Arabidopsis thaliana: one gene and its partners. The protein of the gene in region 1 interacts with the protein of each later gene in a pairwise test. Each region holds a gene or a part of one and is shown on either strand. Other genes may lie near its edges.

What was found.
Region 2: the proteins of SOB3 (region 1) and AT1G26880 interact in a two-hybrid assay, tested with the Arabidopsis thaliana proteins (one large-scale study listed by BioGRID).
Region 3: the proteins of SOB3 (region 1) and FBA8 interact in a two-hybrid assay, tested with the Arabidopsis thaliana proteins (one large-scale study listed by BioGRID).
Region 4: the proteins of SOB3 (region 1) and AT1G11240 interact in a two-hybrid assay, tested with the Arabidopsis thaliana proteins (one large-scale study listed by BioGRID).

Annotation. Positions count from the first base shown.
Region 1 is NC_003070.9:28,703,298-28,707,206, reverse strand, and holds SOB3 (Putative AT-hook DNA-binding family protein), read right to left. Parts: upstream 2,245-3,909; 5' UTR 1,676-2,244; coding exon 767-1,675; 3' UTR 516-766; downstream 1-515. UniProt on the Arabidopsis thaliana protein: Transcription factor that specifically binds AT-rich DNA sequences related to the nuclear matrix attachment regions (MARs). Acts redundantly with AHL18, AHL22 and AHL27 in the regulation of flowering and regulation of the hypocotyl elongation.
Region 2 is NC_003070.9:9,314,805-9,318,851, reverse strand, and holds AT1G26880 (Ribosomal protein L34e superfamily protein), read left to right. Parts: upstream 1-1,971; 5' UTR 1,972-2,170; coding exon 2,171-2,249; intron 2,250-2,372; coding exon 2,373-2,452; intron 2,453-2,690; exon of another isoform or gene 2,691-2,837; intron 2,838-2,922; coding exon 2,923-3,032; coding exon of another isoform or gene 3,033-3,054; exon of another isoform or gene 3,055-3,118; coding exon 3,119-3,212; 3' UTR 3,213-3,547; downstream 3,548-4,047. Other genes in the region: AT1G26890 (FBD, F-box and Leucine Rich Repeat domains containing protein), read right to left, coding at 1-120, 199-408, 475-1,263; FEZ (NAC (No Apical Meristem) domain transcriptional regulator superfamily protein), read right to left, coding at 3,869-4,047.
Region 3 is NC_003074.8:19,626,194-19,631,207, forward strand, and holds FBA8 (Aldolase superfamily protein), read right to left. Parts: upstream 3,012-5,014; 5' UTR 2,682-3,011; coding exon 2,654-2,681; intron 2,332-2,653; coding exon 2,104-2,331; intron 2,011-2,103; coding exon 1,190-2,010; 3' UTR 555-1,189; downstream 1-554. Other genes in the region: FK (Ergosterol biosynthesis ERG4/ERG24 family), read right to left, coding at 4,176-4,329, 4,522-4,596, 4,741-4,860, 4,937-5,013.
Region 4 is NC_003070.9:3,766,252-3,771,465, reverse strand, and holds AT1G11240 (ribosomal RNA-processing protein), read left to right. Parts: upstream 1-1,666; 5' UTR 1,667-1,759; coding exon of another isoform or gene 1,760-2,192; 5' UTR 2,193-2,278; coding exon of another isoform or gene 2,279-2,742; 5' UTR 2,743-3,253; coding exon 3,254-3,378; intron 3,379-3,475; coding exon 3,476-3,581; intron 3,582-3,945; coding exon 3,946-4,060; intron 4,061-4,273; coding exon 4,274-4,530; 3' UTR 4,531-4,712; downstream 4,713-5,214. Other genes in the region: SYP125 (syntaxin of plants 125), read right to left, coding at 1,760-2,192, 2,279-2,742.

The DNA of each region.
Region 1 (3,909 bases):
TCACAGTAACCGCTGTCTTTAAAACAAACTCATAAAATTCTAAATAGTTATTTAGTTTTTCGTAAAATTTCTAAAGCGTTATTTACTTTTTGGTAGATTCTTAACGCGTTATTTTCGTGATTAATTGATAAAAACGAAGAAATATTCATATTGATCTCATCGAAATACAATGTAGAACTCAGTTGGGTGAAACATGTACTAAATCAGAGATTCCATGCGTAAACAAGATATTCAATCTAGAGATTTTCAAATCATAAAATCTCGAAGATTCATGTATGGTATCTAGATGAATTAAAAAGAACAAGATGTTTGATTTGTTGGTTGATTACTTGATAGACATAGTAACATAGATTGAGTGATTACCTTTGATAACTACTCAAAAAGGGGATTACACATACCACATCCATGATATATACAAGTATGAGCCATTTCAATATTTCTATAAAATGTACTCAATAACTTTTTTGTTATCCAATTACAAAGGTAACTAAGTGATATATAAAAATTGGCTTCTAATAGCACTTTTATTGTGAACTCAAGCATATAACAAATAATATATAGGGACAGCACGAAACCCTAGTGATTAAAAAAGAAGAGAAAATGCAGATGGAGAAGTATATCATCTCAAGACGAATTCAAATATTCATATATGATCAACTAAATTAAAAACCAAACGATCCCCAAACAATGAAGATGATTTTTTTTTTCTTTTAATTTTGAGAAATGAAATTTGGTTACAGCTATGTTACGGACATAATTTTCAATTCTAAAAGGCTGGTCTTGGTGGTGCGGCTGCGGCTGCGGCTCCCCAACCAAGCAAATGAGGATCACCGGCAAACTGATCATAACCACTCATGTTACCTCTTAACTGTCCTTGACCGGCTCCAGATGGTGGTGATGATGACGTGGCCGGCGGTGGACCACCTTCTCCTCCTCCTCCCTCTCCAACTTCTCCTCCCTCTCCACCTTCTCCTCCTTCATCTTCAAGGGGAAGCCTTTCGAAAGTTGCATTAGAGAACGATGCAGCCATTAGTATCACTGGACCCGAAGCCACAAGCGGAGCCACCACGTTTCCTCCAATCACCTGACCTTGAACGCCGGAAAGAAAGATAGAAAGACCACCGGATCCTGGCGGCGCAGGGGGCGGCAACACCGTACCTGTGAGGGAAAGTATCTCAAACCTTCCATGTAGAGCCACAACACCTCCGGTTCCACCATTTGCCCCATGAGCCGCTGTCGTTGCCGGCTGCCGGAGACTGACGTTAGCCACCGTGCCGTTACCACTGAGAATGGAGACTCCTCTTCCTCTCCTGCGAGCGTAAGTGGTAACGCTCTCGACTATGTCGGCTCCAGATGAGACTTCAAGAACATGAGATCTAAGCACGTTGGGGCTATCTCTAGTCACTATCACCGGTGGCTTCGGCTTGTTCTTGGATCCCGGAGGACGTCCACGTGGACGTTTCCCGGTTGAACCAGAGGTAACTGGGTCGGAACCCGGATCCTTGTTGGAGTCAGATTCATCATCTGAATTCTGCTGCTGAGGCTGAGGTTGAGGCTGAGGCTGAGGCAAAGGGTGAAGTTGAGGCTGAGGTTGAAGCTGGTGATGAAGCTCAGGCCTGAAGAGGTTGTGAAAGTATCTAGAAGCTCCTCCGGATTGATCGTAACCACCGTCCATGGCAGCCGCATCTACTGACTCTTCTTGTTCTTGTGGCTCATATATATAAAGATATTGTGAGGGTGAAGATAGAATTCATATAAGAGAAACTTTGAGATCCATTGGAGAAGTCAAATTTCAGGAGGTGAGGAGCCAATAGCTTGAGTTGATCGGTTACACAAGCCGACAAAAACAGAGCTAAGAGACACAAATCTAAAGGGTATGCTTTGTGTGTTAAACCCTAACTCGCTTTAGGGCAAGAGAGGAGAGATTCTTCACCCGAGACGGTGTCGTATTAATTGATGTGAAAGAATTCTAGGGAAGCTTCAAATTAATTCATGTGCTGAGACTGAGAGTGAGTGACTCTGCAAGTACTTTTTTTGAACGAGGAAAGGGAAAAAAAAAGCAATAGACACACCGAAAATTTAGCTGAATATCATTCCTTTCGCATTAAAAAATAAAATACGCATAGGGGCATATATTAATATACGAATAATTGCATATTAATAATATACTTGAAATCCATGAAAAGACAAGGGTTTCGAGTTTTTCTTCTCTGGATATATGCGTTTCCCTTTTTGGCATATAGCTTCAAACCAAGAAAATAAAGGAAAACTTTTAAGAGTTAAAATTTAAAGAAAAAGGAAATTAAGAAATTTACAATTTAAAAGCCAAAGGTATATGAATAGGAGATGGAAGAAACATGCTGATATTAAATTGTTGGAATTTTTTTTTATTTTTTTTGATAAAGTTGTTGGAAATTATTATATAGAAAACAAACGAGAAGTCTAAATATAAATTATTGTATAAGTTTTTGAAAGTTACATATCAAATTTGTCCGCATAATAATGCAGTATTCCCTAGAAACAAATGTAATACTCCCACCATTTATCATTATATGCTGTTTAAAGTTAATTAACATATAGTATTAAAATTTAATTAAAGTTTCACTTCTATCTTTCATTAATACACAATTATATTTCTTTCATCAGTTAATACGTTAGAAAAACATAGATTTTTTTTTTGTCAATCTGTTAGAAAAACATAGATAAGACATGAAATTTTAACAAAAAAAAATATTTGCATTGAAAATATAAAATAAAATTTATCCTGAAACAAAATTAAAGTCTTAAAACGACACTTAATTGAAACAGAATAAACAGATGACAAAAAGTAAAATAAAAGTGAATCAAAAATGTTAGCCATGAATCGAATTGCCTTGAAGCGTGTGCATGTAACGCCTTCCATTATGAATTTCATCATTTTCTTTAAAACCGAGATTCTACCTATTCAAAACTAAATTCAGTTTCAAAATGTTTTTGGTCTTGGTCATATATTCTAAAACTAATTAAAAACTATTACCATGAGTGAGTGCACTTCAATTTTTATTAAACTAATTATAAATTATTATTGATAGTAAAAAAAATATAGACCAAACTATTTATTATCAATGTATATTAACTTTCTAAGTTAGAAATTCATGAAATTCGATATAATCTACATAAGGTACCCCAAAAAAGTGTATACAGATTTTAAGTGGGATTTGTTTAAAATAAACATATAAAAAGCATCATCTCTCCAGTGACATGTGTTAAGTTTCTACATTGAAAATTTCATATTTACATCAAAAGTTTGAAAATATCAATATTATATAGGGTAATATTAGAAAGTAACCATGGAATTGAAAAGAATTGAGAGAATAGCCTTGTGTCAGGAAACTTAGGTAAATAACATTTTCTATGGTGGATAAAATACTAAAATATCCTTAGATTTTCTTGTTTTTACAAAAATATCGGTGGTTGTAGTTATAAAGTTTTTATGTATTTGTCTAAAATAATATGATATATTTACAAAAGAGCATGCAATTCTTTAAAATACATACAGAATATATATACACGATATATATGTTTCTCTGAAATAATGTGTTTTTCAGAAATAGCACGAAATATTTATAAAAAGCATGCAATTCTCTTATAGATTGCGAAATTTAAAAAATTACAATATTACATGGGTTTTTATTGGATAACATGACAAATATTTATTTATTTCATGAGTTTTTGTTGGATAGCATGACAAATATTAATATATTAGTGTTAATAACATGTTTTGTTCTTAAAATACATGCATTTTAAAATCAGATATTTGTTTTAAAATCAAATTTAATCTCTTATATCACAACGACATTGACGGAGAATTCAGGTAAAAAGAGAAAATAAAGAATGAGAGATAGAGAGATTTCTATGGAAAAAGAAAGA
Region 2 (4,047 bases), about 19 Mb from region 1:
TTGTAGTTTAGGAGAATTTTGAAGCAAATACATAAGTGGTTCCAACCAATCTACCAAATTGCTTGGAACAAAATAAAACTCCAAGAGCCGAGAGAACTTGATGGTGTTACACCACGCAACCTGTGATTAAAAAAAAATATAACATTAGTTGGCTAAGCAACAAGGAAAAGAAGAGGATCGGAGATATGTAATCGGTACCATTGGCTTGGTCAAATACAAGTACATATGTATGACAGAAGAAAGAGATCTCAGAAACTTGTGATCGGGGTTATGAACATAGCCGAGTTTTGCTATATGAAGGCAAGAAATATTCTCTATCAAGCAATAGTCCAAAACGTTACGTAAGCGTAAAATTTCTAATGCAGGGGAATCTATTACCAAGGATCTATTGAGATCATCATCATCATCCTCCTCTACCTCACCTACGTCAACTTCCTCAACCACACCTTCCTCATCATCCTCTACCTCATCTACATCATCATCATCCTCTACCTCATTTTCCTCTACCACGTCTTCCTCATCCTCTACCCCATCCTTCCGCCGAGTAGTATTATAATGTAACTGTTTCAAGGTAGATACTTTCACGGTAAATTTTGTCAAGTTGTCATCCTTATGTCGATCCACCTTCAGGCAGTTGAGAACAGGGGAGCTTGATAAAAGGCTAACAAGAGATTCTTCGTCTTTGTACACCACAAAGCGAAGACTCAGAGTTAAGAGAGATGGTAGGCGAACAGGGGAAGAAACGTTCACTAGAATCTTGTTGGATAGACTTAAATCAACGAGCGTGTTGCATGTGTAAAGGCACTTAGGAAATCCTGTGGGTTCTGCGGTCCAGAGGAGATTGAAATCTAACTCTTTCACACCTCTATTAACTACGTTCTCAACCCACTTTCCGACATCTACGTCAACAGGACAATGTGGACCGAGTTCCACAACCAAACTATCTAGTTTCGGTGCCTTATGGAGTTGCAATGACTTTTCAATAAACCACCCCACGCTCTCGCTGTCATCTTCTTTGAATTCGAGTCTAGGCACCATCGGCCAGACATAACGCCATCGTTTAGACAAGATTGAAGTGGCGACTGCCTCTTTTGTTGGGACGTGATGCAAGATCTGCAAGAGCAAATCGTTAGGAAAAGCACAGATTCTAGTTTCGTTTATCTGACAACTTTCGGTTTCTGGAACAGTTGATATATGCTCATCGTCGTGTATAATATCCCAAAAAAAAGACCAACAACTTAAGCAACCCATAGATGTGGCCATGTGGGATACCGGATACCTAGCTAGACGCCAATGGAACTTTTTTCTCGTCGCTGGCTGTGACACAAAAGTGAGTCTATATTATAAAGCTTTTTTTCAAAAAAAAACAATTATTATACAAATATTTATTATTTGTTCAAAGAAAAAAAAAAAAAAATATATATATATATATATATATATATTATTAATGCATATAAAAAAAGAAACTAAATTAAAGTTGCCCAATTTTTAAAGTAAAACTGCAATATAGACACACATAAAATATATCAATCGATTCTCATTCTTACATAATTGTTAGTTTTTTCCCTTAAAAATCTAATCATCAAACCAAACAAAATTGTTGAAAATCCAAATTTTCTAGCCTGGTCCTTATATTTCCATTTGTTATTTTGGATGAATTTATTTTCCAATTCCCAATTTTGCCGCCAACCTTGATTAATTTCTCTACTTGGCTTGCTCTAATTGCTTGCACCACGCCCTTGTAAATGTATCGATTATGTTTTTACGTGCCATGAATTTAAATTTTTTGTTGTTACACTATTTGATAAAATAAATTGAATGTGTTTTGACTAAACGGATTATAATACTAATTAATCTTTTTAAAGTTCTACGTATAATTTAATGCATCTATGATTTCTTAAAAAATCAAAATAAAAATTGGTAATAATGTTTCTAGTTTCTGTTCACTACAACATACAAACGATACTTATTCTAATTGCAGCTAATAATAGAATTGGTTTTTACAAGTTGAATTTTTTTTAATTATTTGTACATGGGCCTTTAACTGGAGCATAATTAAAGACCAAAATGAGAAAAGGCCCATATAGTTGTAGTCTTAGTTTAGGTTTGGAGTCTCACCCTTATATTCTTCGTTCCAAACGAAAACCCTAAAAGAGAAAAGGAGGCGAAAATGGTGCAGCGTCTTGTTTACCGGTCGCGACACAGCTACGCCACCAAATCGAACCAGCACCGTATCGTCAAGACTCCAGGTCCCTTTCTTCTTCTTCTTCTTCTTCCTTGATATCTTCAATCTCCTCTGCTTTAGTCTCATAATTCTCTAATCACCGATCTGTTCTTCATAGTGTAATGTGTGTTGGGATTGTTGATTTCAGGAGGTAAATTGGTGTATCAAACCACAAAGAAGAGAGCTAGTGGCCCCAAATGTCCTGTTACTGGCAAGCGTATTCAAGGAGTAAGTCTTCTGATTTCGATTTGGCTTCGTGTGATTTGGTTTACATGGTTCTTGTATCTAGAGTCTTGATTTGAGGTCTAGATAGAGTTAAGAGTTTGAATTTTTTAGGAATTTGATGGCTATGTATAACCAAATCAATCAGATTGAGTGTTTTAGAATGTTTTGAGTATTGATCAGTCTCATTTTTAATGGGCATGTCTTCTTATTTCAAGAAACCATGTTACTTAGTTAATAGTATTGTGCTTATTGACGGTCTTGTGCTGATTAGATAAATCCCACATCAGTACATAACATAAATCATAAGCTAAATTGTCGGTGCCACTTTGTCTTTCAAGTTGTTCCTTGTATTACATAAGGATTTGCTATCCACCTTTGGCATAAATTTTCAGTTTATTCCCAACTATATATGTTTGATTATGCAATGGCATATTCCTTTTGCATTATGTGAATAACTTTGTTTGTTTATTCAGATCCCTCACTTGAGGCCCTCTGAGTACAAGAGGTCAAGATTATCAAGAAACAGGAGGACTGTAAACCGAGCATACGGTGGAGTCTTGTCTGGTTCTGCAGTCAGGGAAAGGTTTGTTGTCCATCTTACTTGAGTCATCTTTCTATTACAATAAATTTGGTGTTCTTTAACGTAATGTTGTTTTTGGATTCCGACAGGATCATTCGGGCATTCCTTGTCGAAGAGCAAAAGATTGTGAAGAAAGTGTTGAAACTCCAAAAGGCTAAGGAGAAAGTAGCCCCCAAGGCTTAAGCTTTTATGTTTTATTCTTCTCTGTTTTGGAATTATGGCTATGTTCAAGTGATAGGACTTGGTGCAGTCATGTGAGGACATCTATGTTACTCGACCAATTTTTAAGCTTTGTATTCTGTTATCAGTTCTTAACTTTGTCGACAATTCTCTTCTCTTCAGTTTTGGAATTGTTGAATTCATCTTTAATGTTCTATTGTTGATGCATATCACATAAGCTGTTGTGATTACCTTCTTGGTTAATATAATATTTCTGAATCTCTCGGAGGCTAAATCAAGCTTGCACTTTAATGTTCTCAGCGTCATGACACAACTATGGAATAGCAATTTTGAGTCTTAAATCTTAACTATGCTTCAATTTTTGGGAATTCTACAACGACAGTCTCGTATGCGATTAATGAAGTCAGCTCCAGAAATAATATACTTACTGGTCTTTATTTTGAATATAGTAAAACTCGATTCAGTTTTTCTCTTGTTCATCTTGACTTACCTCATGCCTTCTTCATTAAAGCAAAGTTGCTTGTGAAAAATAAAAACTCAAGGAAGCATAATTAATAAACGATTTAATTTAGTGAAAGAGAAAGCCTACAAAGAGGAAATACCCTAGCTTGAAAAAAGCAAGCCAAGAAGGCAGAGATGGGAAAATCTATCCACATACATCAGGTTGTACTGGAGAAACAAGCTGGCAAATCGCTATTGATGGACGATAAAGAAGAATAATAACTCTCCAGCAATGTCATGTTCTGTTTCAGGTCTTGATGATGACGATGGTTCTCATTAATTGTTGAAGTGAAATCATCAAACCGAAGTGTGTCGCAATGATCACCAAGATGATCTT
Region 3 (5,014 bases), on another chromosome or scaffold:
GAATTTTTTTCTTGCTTTGTTTTTTCTAATATTATTTTATTTGTTATATTGTTTAGCTTTATTTTAATTTCTTTTCCCCCCCAAATTATGTTTAGCTTTTTGAGAAAGTAGCCTCTCGCCGTCGAGCGTGTGTGGTGGGTGTTTTGAAATTGAAACGACTTCTTCTTGTCAAAGTAAATCATGACCTTGACCCACACAATAGACTCGATAAATTCCAATTATTGTTTTCAAAGACAAAAATGTAAAATGATATTTTAGTAAAATGGAAAGAAAAACACTTAACAAAATGGGAAAGATATGATATTTGGTTGTAAGATCTTCAAGTATTCCCATTTTCCAAATATTGTTTTCCTAATCTAGCAAATTCCTTATTCTTTGAATTACACTAAATTATTCAATCGAGCTGGTAAGATAGAAATATTCGATCGTACAAAACACAGCAATGTGCTAATCTACAAACTATTTGGTAGACATGATCTGGAAAGCAAATGCTTTTTTATTTATGATATTCAGTGGAGAACCAATTTAGTATACTTTCATACAGTAGGCCCTTTGAGGCCCATCTTACACATAAACAGAATATCATAAATTAGCTGTGTATTCTCATTACAGCATTTGGCAATAAGCTGGCTTTTGGAATGCTTTTGAAGACAATGAAAACACACTACAGTCTTGTTCATATTCTTGTGTCTGCAAATTAATTGAGAAAGTGTATAACTTTCCTATGTTTCTGAATCTTGTTCGAGGCTCCTTTCAGCTTATGGTTGTAGCCTCATATAGCAATTATGCTCTCACATACTAGTCATATTGTTGAAAAAATGAAACAGGAACGCTTGGTTCATACTCTTCATAGACAGATTTTTATGTGTTTAAAAGACGAGATTTCATATACGAATCAGAGAACCAAATACAATAATTTAGGCTCAAGAAGCGGTAAATCAACAGAAACTGATTTTCAAATTCCACAAGAGGTTCAACAGAAATAACCTCAAATGACTTTTTTATTTGGGCGTGTTTTTAAAATACTCAATTCTAAAAAACAAAACCCAATCAAAATCAAAACACAAATCCAAAAGGAAAATGAAGAAAAAACACTTATAATCCGATAATGTCAAGTAGAAAAACGAAAAATCCCTAGAAATATATCCAGGAAGATGACAAACGTCACAATTCAACCCGTGGACGATGCTCAGTACTTGTAATCCTTCACGTGAAGGCTCTCAGCTGCTCCATCACCAAGCTTAGCGTCACCCTTGTAGGTTCCGAGTGTGGCTTCAGAGTTAGCCTTGCACCTCACATACAACGCCTCTTGAGCTGCCTTGACATTCTCCTCTTTACCTGCCCATGTCTTCAAGGTAGACTGCTGCAACGCACGTCCGAATGAGAAAGACAATGACCATGGCTTCTTGGTCTTCAACTGGTTCATGGCGTTCAAGTTCCTGGTAGCTTCTTCCTCGCTCTGTCCTCCAGATAAGAAGACAATGGCTGGAACAGCTGCTGGGACGGTTCTCTGAAGGGCACGGACGGTGTGCTCAGCGATGACTTCAGGTGAAACCTTGGGGCTGTCAGATCCGGGAGTAACCATGTTAGGCTTCAAGAGTGTACCCTCGAGCAAGACGTGGTGGTCGCTAAGAGCCTTGTAGCAAGCTGCAAGGACACGCTCAGTCACGGCAGCACACTTCTGGATGTCATGGGATCCATCGACTAGGATCTCAGGCTCGACAATTGGTACAAGACCGTTCTCTTGGCAGATAACAGCGTATCTAGCTAATCCGTAAGCGTTCTCATGAATGGAATGCTCAGATGGCTCGTTCTCTCCGATCTTGAGGACTGCACGCCACTTGGCGAAACGAGCACCAGCTTCGTAGTACTTCTTGCATCTGTCACCGAGACCGTCAAGACCTTGAGTGGTGGTCTCACCGTCGGTTCCAGCTAGCTCAACGGTACCCTTGTCAACCTTGATACCGGGAAGAACTCCTCCTTCCTTCAAGATATCAACGAAAAGCTTACCTGTACAAAGAAAACATCATCATCAATAAAAAACAATCACAAAACCACATTACAGAGTAAAACATTAAGTAATAGTATTGATCAAGTTCATACCATCGGAACTCTTTTGGTACAGAGTCTCTTCGAAAAGGATGACACCACTGAGGCATGGAAGAGCACCAGGGGCGGTGAAGAGAAGCTCACGGAGGTTACGTCTGTTGGTCTCAACGTTCTCGACGTTGATGCTCGCAAGACGCTTTCCAATGGTACCAGTGGACTCATCAGCAGCCAAAATACCTTTTCCAGGTGTGCCGATGTAGGCAGCGTTGGCGATCAACTCATCTATATAGGTTTCAAAAATGGAAAAACTTAAATCAATCAATCACCATAAGAGAACAACAACAGAAAAAGTTCCAGATCGTGAATACTAATTAGATCCGTATTAAAACCGATGAGAACATAGTTAGATCTACGCTAGTTTTTAACATAGGAATCATCGACTGATTCATTTCAGCTTTCGAAACCAAGCTAAGTTCACGAATCAACTAGATCTATACGATTAAACACGCTAATAAGAATCAAAACACGGGATAACGAATCGAATCCAATACACGAATCTAAACATGAATAAAGAACTTAAGAGAGATAGAGATCGAGATCTTACCGGCGAATTTGCTTGTGAAGGCAGACATAGTTGGACGGAGAGATCGAGAAATCAGAGAGAAATGAAAAGAGATGCGGAAGAAGGCAGACGAGTGGTGGACCAGTAGAGGAAAAGGGTTGGTTTTATAGCTGCGGATGAGAGTCTATTGGTTGGTGAAAATATTAATTAAGGGTCAGATCTTTGCATGTTCCCCAAGAAATAGCTTTTTCAGCCGTTGGATCTCTAATTGGCAATGTTGGCTAATCTTAATTCTACCCCTTAATAGCGTGGATTCTCAGCAAATTAGCTGAGGGGTAATTTGGTAACTCGTAGTGTTATTTAAGGAAAAGCATGACTTCGGCCTTACGACGGCCCAAACCGTCAGACGAATTGTATAATTGAGATCGTAAGATAATAAATTACATTAATCATTGATTATAGTAGTTTTTTAATCGTAATAAACACTTAATAGTTGACTACGAATCTCAATAGAATATTCTTATTGGAAATGTTATGTGTTTCTAGATTCACAGAAAAAGTGCGACTTTGATATCTCCGAACATAGAAAATTAAGATCTTAGATTTAGATAGAGACATATAACCGGAAAACAGCTGCGACTCTTCAAACGCATGAATAATCAAAAACTATCAAAGTCTTTTGCTTTCTACCGACACAGTATGTATGTAGTCTAGAACTTTTTTGTTGCTATTGTTGTTGTATACATTTTGAAGTTTTAAAGGTGTCTTTTAGGATCTTCAATGGTTTTATTGTTTCTTATCTTTTAGGTTCAAGTGATTATAAAATGAAACATCTTATTATTATAACAAATTATGAGATTTTTACACGTATTTTCAACATTTTTTTAATATGTGTATATAATTTTTTAATAAAACCTCGTTGACAAATAAATAAATTTTAAAAAACTCTATGACATACTAAAAATAAAATATGATTATAAATGGAAACAACTGTTACGATATGCCATAATATCTTAAGAAAGAAACTGATATAGAACATACAATATTTAAAAAGAAAATAGGGGAAAAGAAGGAAATATACTAAAAAGACAAAGAATATATGTATATTGACATGTAAATAGAAACACGGATGTGTATGGTCCATTTAAATTGTCTCCAAGTCGATTAAGATGGTACATCTAGAAACTTCGTAATCGTCAATTTCTATTTTTGTGATAATTTTCCATTTTCTCCTATAAACATATCCATCAGCATTATCATTTATCAACACCACTCTGTTCCTCTATTAGTATTTTTCTCAGTTTTACATAAGTACAATATTACTTTATCATGACATTTTACATCAAACAAATGTCTTTTGTAAAATCTCTGGTTTTTAAACAACCCAAAAAATAAAATCCGAAAATGCTGATATCAATGCTAAAATAATAATAAGGACTGAAGTTATTCTCAAACGTGTACTACAAAGTTTCACTCGAGCATTGCTAAAATAAAACAAGATTATGAAAAAATAAGACACAAGAGGATGAATCTGAAAGGATTCATGACTTGGCTCTTGGCACATCTAATAAACATAAGGAAGTATTCTCCAGGGGACAAGTCTAAGATACTCTGCCCATATCTCCTTGTACTTCTCTGCACATCGAACCTCGTCTCTTCGTTCTCTCCATATCAATAGTATCAGAAGGTATATCGGGTAGAAATATGGAACCGGAGAACTGAGAATACACAAGACAAAATATCATAAAAACAGCTTTGGGAAATGAACTTGAAAGCTTTAGACTTTTCAAATGATGGTTAGAGATCAATATCTTTAAGTCAGCCAAATCAACTTCGAACGTTTTGATATTGGTATTAGTTTCTACATGACTTTTGGTAGCTGTAAGATGAACTCAAGCAGAAGAAGTTACCTTATTCCACATGGCAAACTGAAGGACAGAGCAAGCATCAAGTCGCCAAGGTAATTACAGTGCCTTGCAATTCCCCTGTCATATATACAAAACAGCACCTAAGTTATCGGAAATGTGTCATTGCGGAACTTTCAACTCTTTATTCCCAGCATGATGAACAATCAAACACAGAGATGGCGAAACCAAGCAAAGAAACAAGAGAAGATAAATATAACATACCAATAGCCTGAAACCAGTAACTTTCCACCAACTACCACTGGAGGCTTGCCCCATATTGGTGTTTTTGGGTTCTTCTTAAAGATATGTTTTTGTTTGTTAGCTCCTCGAAAAACCATGTACCTGCCAAAGAAGAAATAGTGGGTTTCTTAGTGTAGATATGTAAGAATGGAAAATAACCCAATGTCTCAGAACTTACCCTATCAAGAAGACAAGGCAATTGACTACAATCGCAGGAACTGTTAGTTCTACTTTGTTGTGCAAAAGCCACCAGCCC
Region 4 (5,214 bases), about 25 Mb from region 1:
GTTAATTGTTAATAATTTTTAATATTAACTAAGATATAGATTTGATCTCATATATATATTATTTTGACATGAAATCATTATCAAGTAAGATGAAGTGTGTAGAATTAAAATCAAGCTTTTTATGAAATAGATAGTTAAATTGTATACAAAATTGAATATGTAAGATAAAAAATTTGTTCTTTTCTTCTAAATACTAAATTATAATAAAGAAAAAGTGTGTAGGTTACTATTTAGACTTCAAATATCATCAATAAGATTGAATGGGTATAATAAAATAAAATGCATAAGACTACTATTTTACTATTCAAAATTATATATCAAGAACAATGTATAGATTATTATTTTATTATTCAAAATTTAAATATTATCGATAAAAATTACAGTTACATCTTACACCCGCTTATTTAGGCGGGCCTTATCTAGTAAAATAGGATTCAAGGTGTTTAGTAAATCGTGGATGTTACTACTTTCTGCTTTCGTCATGAGTCGAAAATCTAATTCTGAAAAGGTAAATTAATCACCTAAAGGAAAATGGCTTTGGCCCAACCACTACAAGAGGCTAAACACATGAAATGAAATGAAATGAATGTGCTGATATCGAAAAATCTAGAGTGATGCTATTAGTTATTAACGCTAAGCTAAGATAGATAAGTATGGACGTTACCGAAGTCGAAGACATTAGTAGAAAATGTGTATAAGCAATTCAGTTTTGTATAGTTGGAAACTATCGATGAACGTGCATTATTCATAGAAAATGAATGAAAGTCTTTGGATTTAGCAGAAGAAAGTTTTGTCTTATCAGAATTTCTAATTCCCATAGGCTTTGGGATTAAGAGAGTCCGATACGATAAAGACTGAAATTAAAATATATGTATTCATGGATGGGGACACCGGACACATATATTATAATAATATAGAGAAAAGAGGGCTGAATCTTGACGTAAAAAAAAGAAGGTTGTATCTTACCGTTTCTCTGAAGTTAGTATGAAGCGGTTTCCTGAAGTGGTCCTTAGCCAAATAAATGTAAGCAAATGCGTTTTCGATCGCCCACCCAACGCACATGCCCCCCAATTCTTTACTCCAACACCACCTTCAAGGTACGTGGTTTTGACAACAAATGTCGTTTTATAAAGTTTTTAAATACATCCAACTAGTAAAGTTCATATATGAATTATTAAATAAATAAATGAAAACTCCTTTTGTCTCTCCAAATAACTGAGTTGTGGTTTATGAGAGACACCATTTATACCACCGTTATTGGTGGTATCTTAGCAAAAATTTTAGGCTAAAATTTGTGAAGAAAAAACTGTTATATAAGCTTAAAAGCTTTGTTTATCTTAATACATTTAGTTTATCGATTTTATTCCATTCCATACCATACGTAGCCCATATGCTTTTCCATTTCTATATACTTACAAACACAACCCTTTTGATAATGCTATTGCTAATCCCAAAATTTAGTTCCAATTTTCCGAAACAAATCCCTAATTTGAATCTAAAACAATGTATATGCTTCACTCTAACATTTCAGCATCTATGATACAACATTGTCATATAAACACTAACGATGAAGATAATAATTGTCAAAAGATATACAATAATAATAAAGAACTGGTACTTCAAAAATCTCTACAAATTGTTTGCCATGGTTTCACCGTAATCTAACTATTTCATTCAATATTAACAAAATATAAAATAAGAGGAAAAATAACAAGCGAAGAGATGATTTTGAGATTTCAAGTTCAACTCTTTAGAAAATTCACTTCAACATGAGCATTATGTGAGGTAGAAGGGGAATGAGAAGGAGGATAAAGATGACGATGAAGAGGATGATGGCGTAACAAGTCCATTTCCTCGAGCTCTTTTGGTATTCCCTCGCATCTTGGAGCTGATCAGTCCCTCTTCTCACAAACGAGCTCGCTTTCGCCACATGGCTCTCTATGTTGTTTAATTGTTGCCCTTGCGCTTCTACTAGAGCTGCCATGTCCAAGAAAACCTGGTGCAGCTCCAGTAGATTCTTCTCTATCTCCTTCACTGCATCATGTCTCTCCTGGATCTCAGATATCGTGTCTAGGATTTGACCTCTTCCTTGCTCTTGAATCGCTTTTTGGAGAAAATTCTCGCTCTCACCGCTCGCTATCAAGTTATCGATTGTTTGCTCGTCTGCTTTTTCTCCTGTTATTGTGAAATACCTGCACCAATTTTAACATAATCATATAACTTGCAACCCAAACAGAGCATAGCTTGCAACACAAGAAACCTAAAGAAAAACAAAGACCTGCGCTCTACGGTTTCCTTATACTCATTGTTCATACGAGCACGTAGACCTTGAAAACTATCCATCAAGTCTTTGAGCTTCTTCCCGAGACCGCTAACCACAGAAGATCGAGTCCTATCCGTAGACGAACCAGGCCCACAACCAGGGACATTACGGCTATTAGCATTCGCTTTCTCTAAGGCTTCGAGCTTCTGCTTGATGATTTTAACCCTCTTAAGGACCATTGCTACGTCTCCATCCATCTTAGCTCGTAGCTCTTTAACCTTCTTGGCATTGTGAACCGTCTTGCACTCCTCGTTTGAGTCTTGAAGCTTCTTATAAAGAGCCTCGACTCCTTTCATGTCGTCCTTCACATTCTCGACATCCTCGAAGAATTTATCGAGGTTCATCGTTTCTTGACCTGCCTCAACATCCCCCAGTTGAGCCTGGTTCTTCTTGAATGAATTAGAGAATAAATCGTTCATTTTTACTCTGTCTTTATTTTCTTTCTCTGGCTTAATTATGTACAGAAGTTTTTTTTTTGGGGTTTTATGTGTTTTTTTCTTTGATTTTGTTTTTGTTCAAAAGCAATTGATTATGATGATGAACATCACCATCGTCGTCCTCTGCATGAGTAAGAGGAAGAAGATGCTAGGAAGTTTTTTTTTTGTTTTATTTTGATGAGTGAAAAAGAAAAACTTTTAGTTTTGTGGGAAGGTTTATTTTGTTTTGTTAGAAACGAGAGACACAAGCCACTTTTGGTAATTGTCCAAATTTAGTCAATGGCATAACTTTTTCTTAACCAAATTAGCTCCATTTAGTCAAAGACAATATTACCCTTATAATGGGCCAAGCCTTAAAGCCTAAAGCCCAATTAAAAGGCCATTTTTTCTGCTTCCTGCTTCTTCTTCTTCATAGGCTTGTTTTGATTAAACCTCGCAAAACCTAATTTTTGACCTGAACCGCTTCGTTTCCGATCGGAGGAAGTATCTGGTGATGACGGGAGGCTTGCATAATGAGGAGGCGGGTTCACTGGCTACGCCGACTAGTGCTAGGCACATTGGGAAGAGAGCTCGCAAGAACAAAAGCCTCACCGTCTCTTTTGACGAGAAAGATCTCAAGTACAATAAAAATTCTAACTTTACTGCTGATTCAATCTGGGAATCTTTGAATTCGCATGATTAGTGAGTTTTCTGGTGTGTGTTGTTTTGTTGGTAGGGATTTTGTGACTGGTTTTCACAAGAGGAAGAAGAAAAGAAGAAAGGAAGCTCAGAAGCAGCAGGAGGAAGCTTTTAGGCGGAAACGAATCGAGGCCCGTAAGAATGTAAGCATCTAACTGTTCCTTCTTATTCTGATATGCGTTATAGATTAGTCTCAAATTCTTTGTTTAGCTAAATTTAGATTTGTCTGGAGCTTAAAAACACTGTCTTTTTGGTAAGAGGTTGTGCAATGAGCTTGTTCTGATTTGTTTCTATAGAAATTTGAGTGCTTCTTTTGTTTTGACCGCAATTGTTAATCGAAATTTTACATGTCCTTCGATAGTGTCTGTGATGTATGAGTGATTAATAGTGGATGAGATGTCAGAGAGATTGTTGATGATCAATCATTTTTATTATGTAGATTTTGATTCTTGGACTTGAGCCTATCTTTTCTCTTATTGTTCTGAATCTGGTATATGAGCTTTGCAGAGGAAATTGGAAGAGCTAATGGTTGCTGGTAATGGCGAGGATAATGAAGATGGGGAAGCTGAAGATGAAGTGGATGCAGAGGATGAAGAAGCAGAGCCTGATGCTTCAACATCTGGTAATCTTTTTGTAATCTTTTTTTTTTTTGTTTTCCATTACGCAATGATTGATAGTTTGTCGCCATAATGTGAAAGCTGGTTGATTGGAATGGAGAAGTTTGCAACACAAGCATTATTGATGTCTTTTTCTCCGTTGATTGCTTTTGCATTAGTATGATTTTGCTTTGACTGGCTTTGTTCTGATATTTGTTGTGTTTCTTTGTGGATGAAAGCCACGACGATGTATGATACAGGCGAGTTGAAAGTAACTGTGACAACAAGTGAGATATCTCGTGAAGAGGAAGAGCCTATTCGCAAGGAGAAGACTCAATCAACAGAATCAGGTTCCACGGCCAAAGCTTCCACAAAGCAGCCTGTGCCTGTGAGGAAAACCAAACCCATGAAACAGAGCAGGAGACGGTCAACCACCAAAACTATGAAGAAAAGGGATAAGAAGAAACAAGCAAGAGGGATCAAGACTTCGCGATAGGAGTAGAAATGTCTGTTGTCCTCTAAAAGCATGCTTTTAGAGCTTCTGATGATTCGGATTCTCGAGCGTTTTGATATTTTTCTGCTGTTGAAATGGAGGGTAACAATTGGATAATGTTGAGTTTTGTTGTAACAATCACATTTGTTAATCAAATCTGTAATGTTACACTTACTTTACCGTTCACCAAGTTCTTTGATCACTAACTCTTCCTATAAATTTGGTTAAATTGGTAACAAGCAATTACTGCGGTTGAATACTAACCGCTTTGGTGGCTACAAATCGGCAAAGGGGTTGGTTTTGGCGATTTAAAGAAGCGGTTCAAGTTGGCAGTAAAAAAGATATGCTCGAACATGATCTGATTTCGTATAGAAGGCCGGTTCAACCGTCATGGGCCTCATGGCACGGCTTACAAATTTGCAGAGGATGAATATTTCACTAAATAGAATACAAATGCAAATATGTATGACTTTCTCTAAAAAAAGAATTCAATCTAATTATTTAGTTCAATACATTTCCTAAATAGAAATCTTACCGAATATGGTATATATAATATATGTAGGTAACACATAAGTTGCAGTCTATAACAAATCTTTGTATAGTTTCAAGGAGGGTATAGTTCGTTACTACTTACATTTTATGTTACAGTTTACACGTTTTGATATTTTTTTTGTAACTCATCTGCAA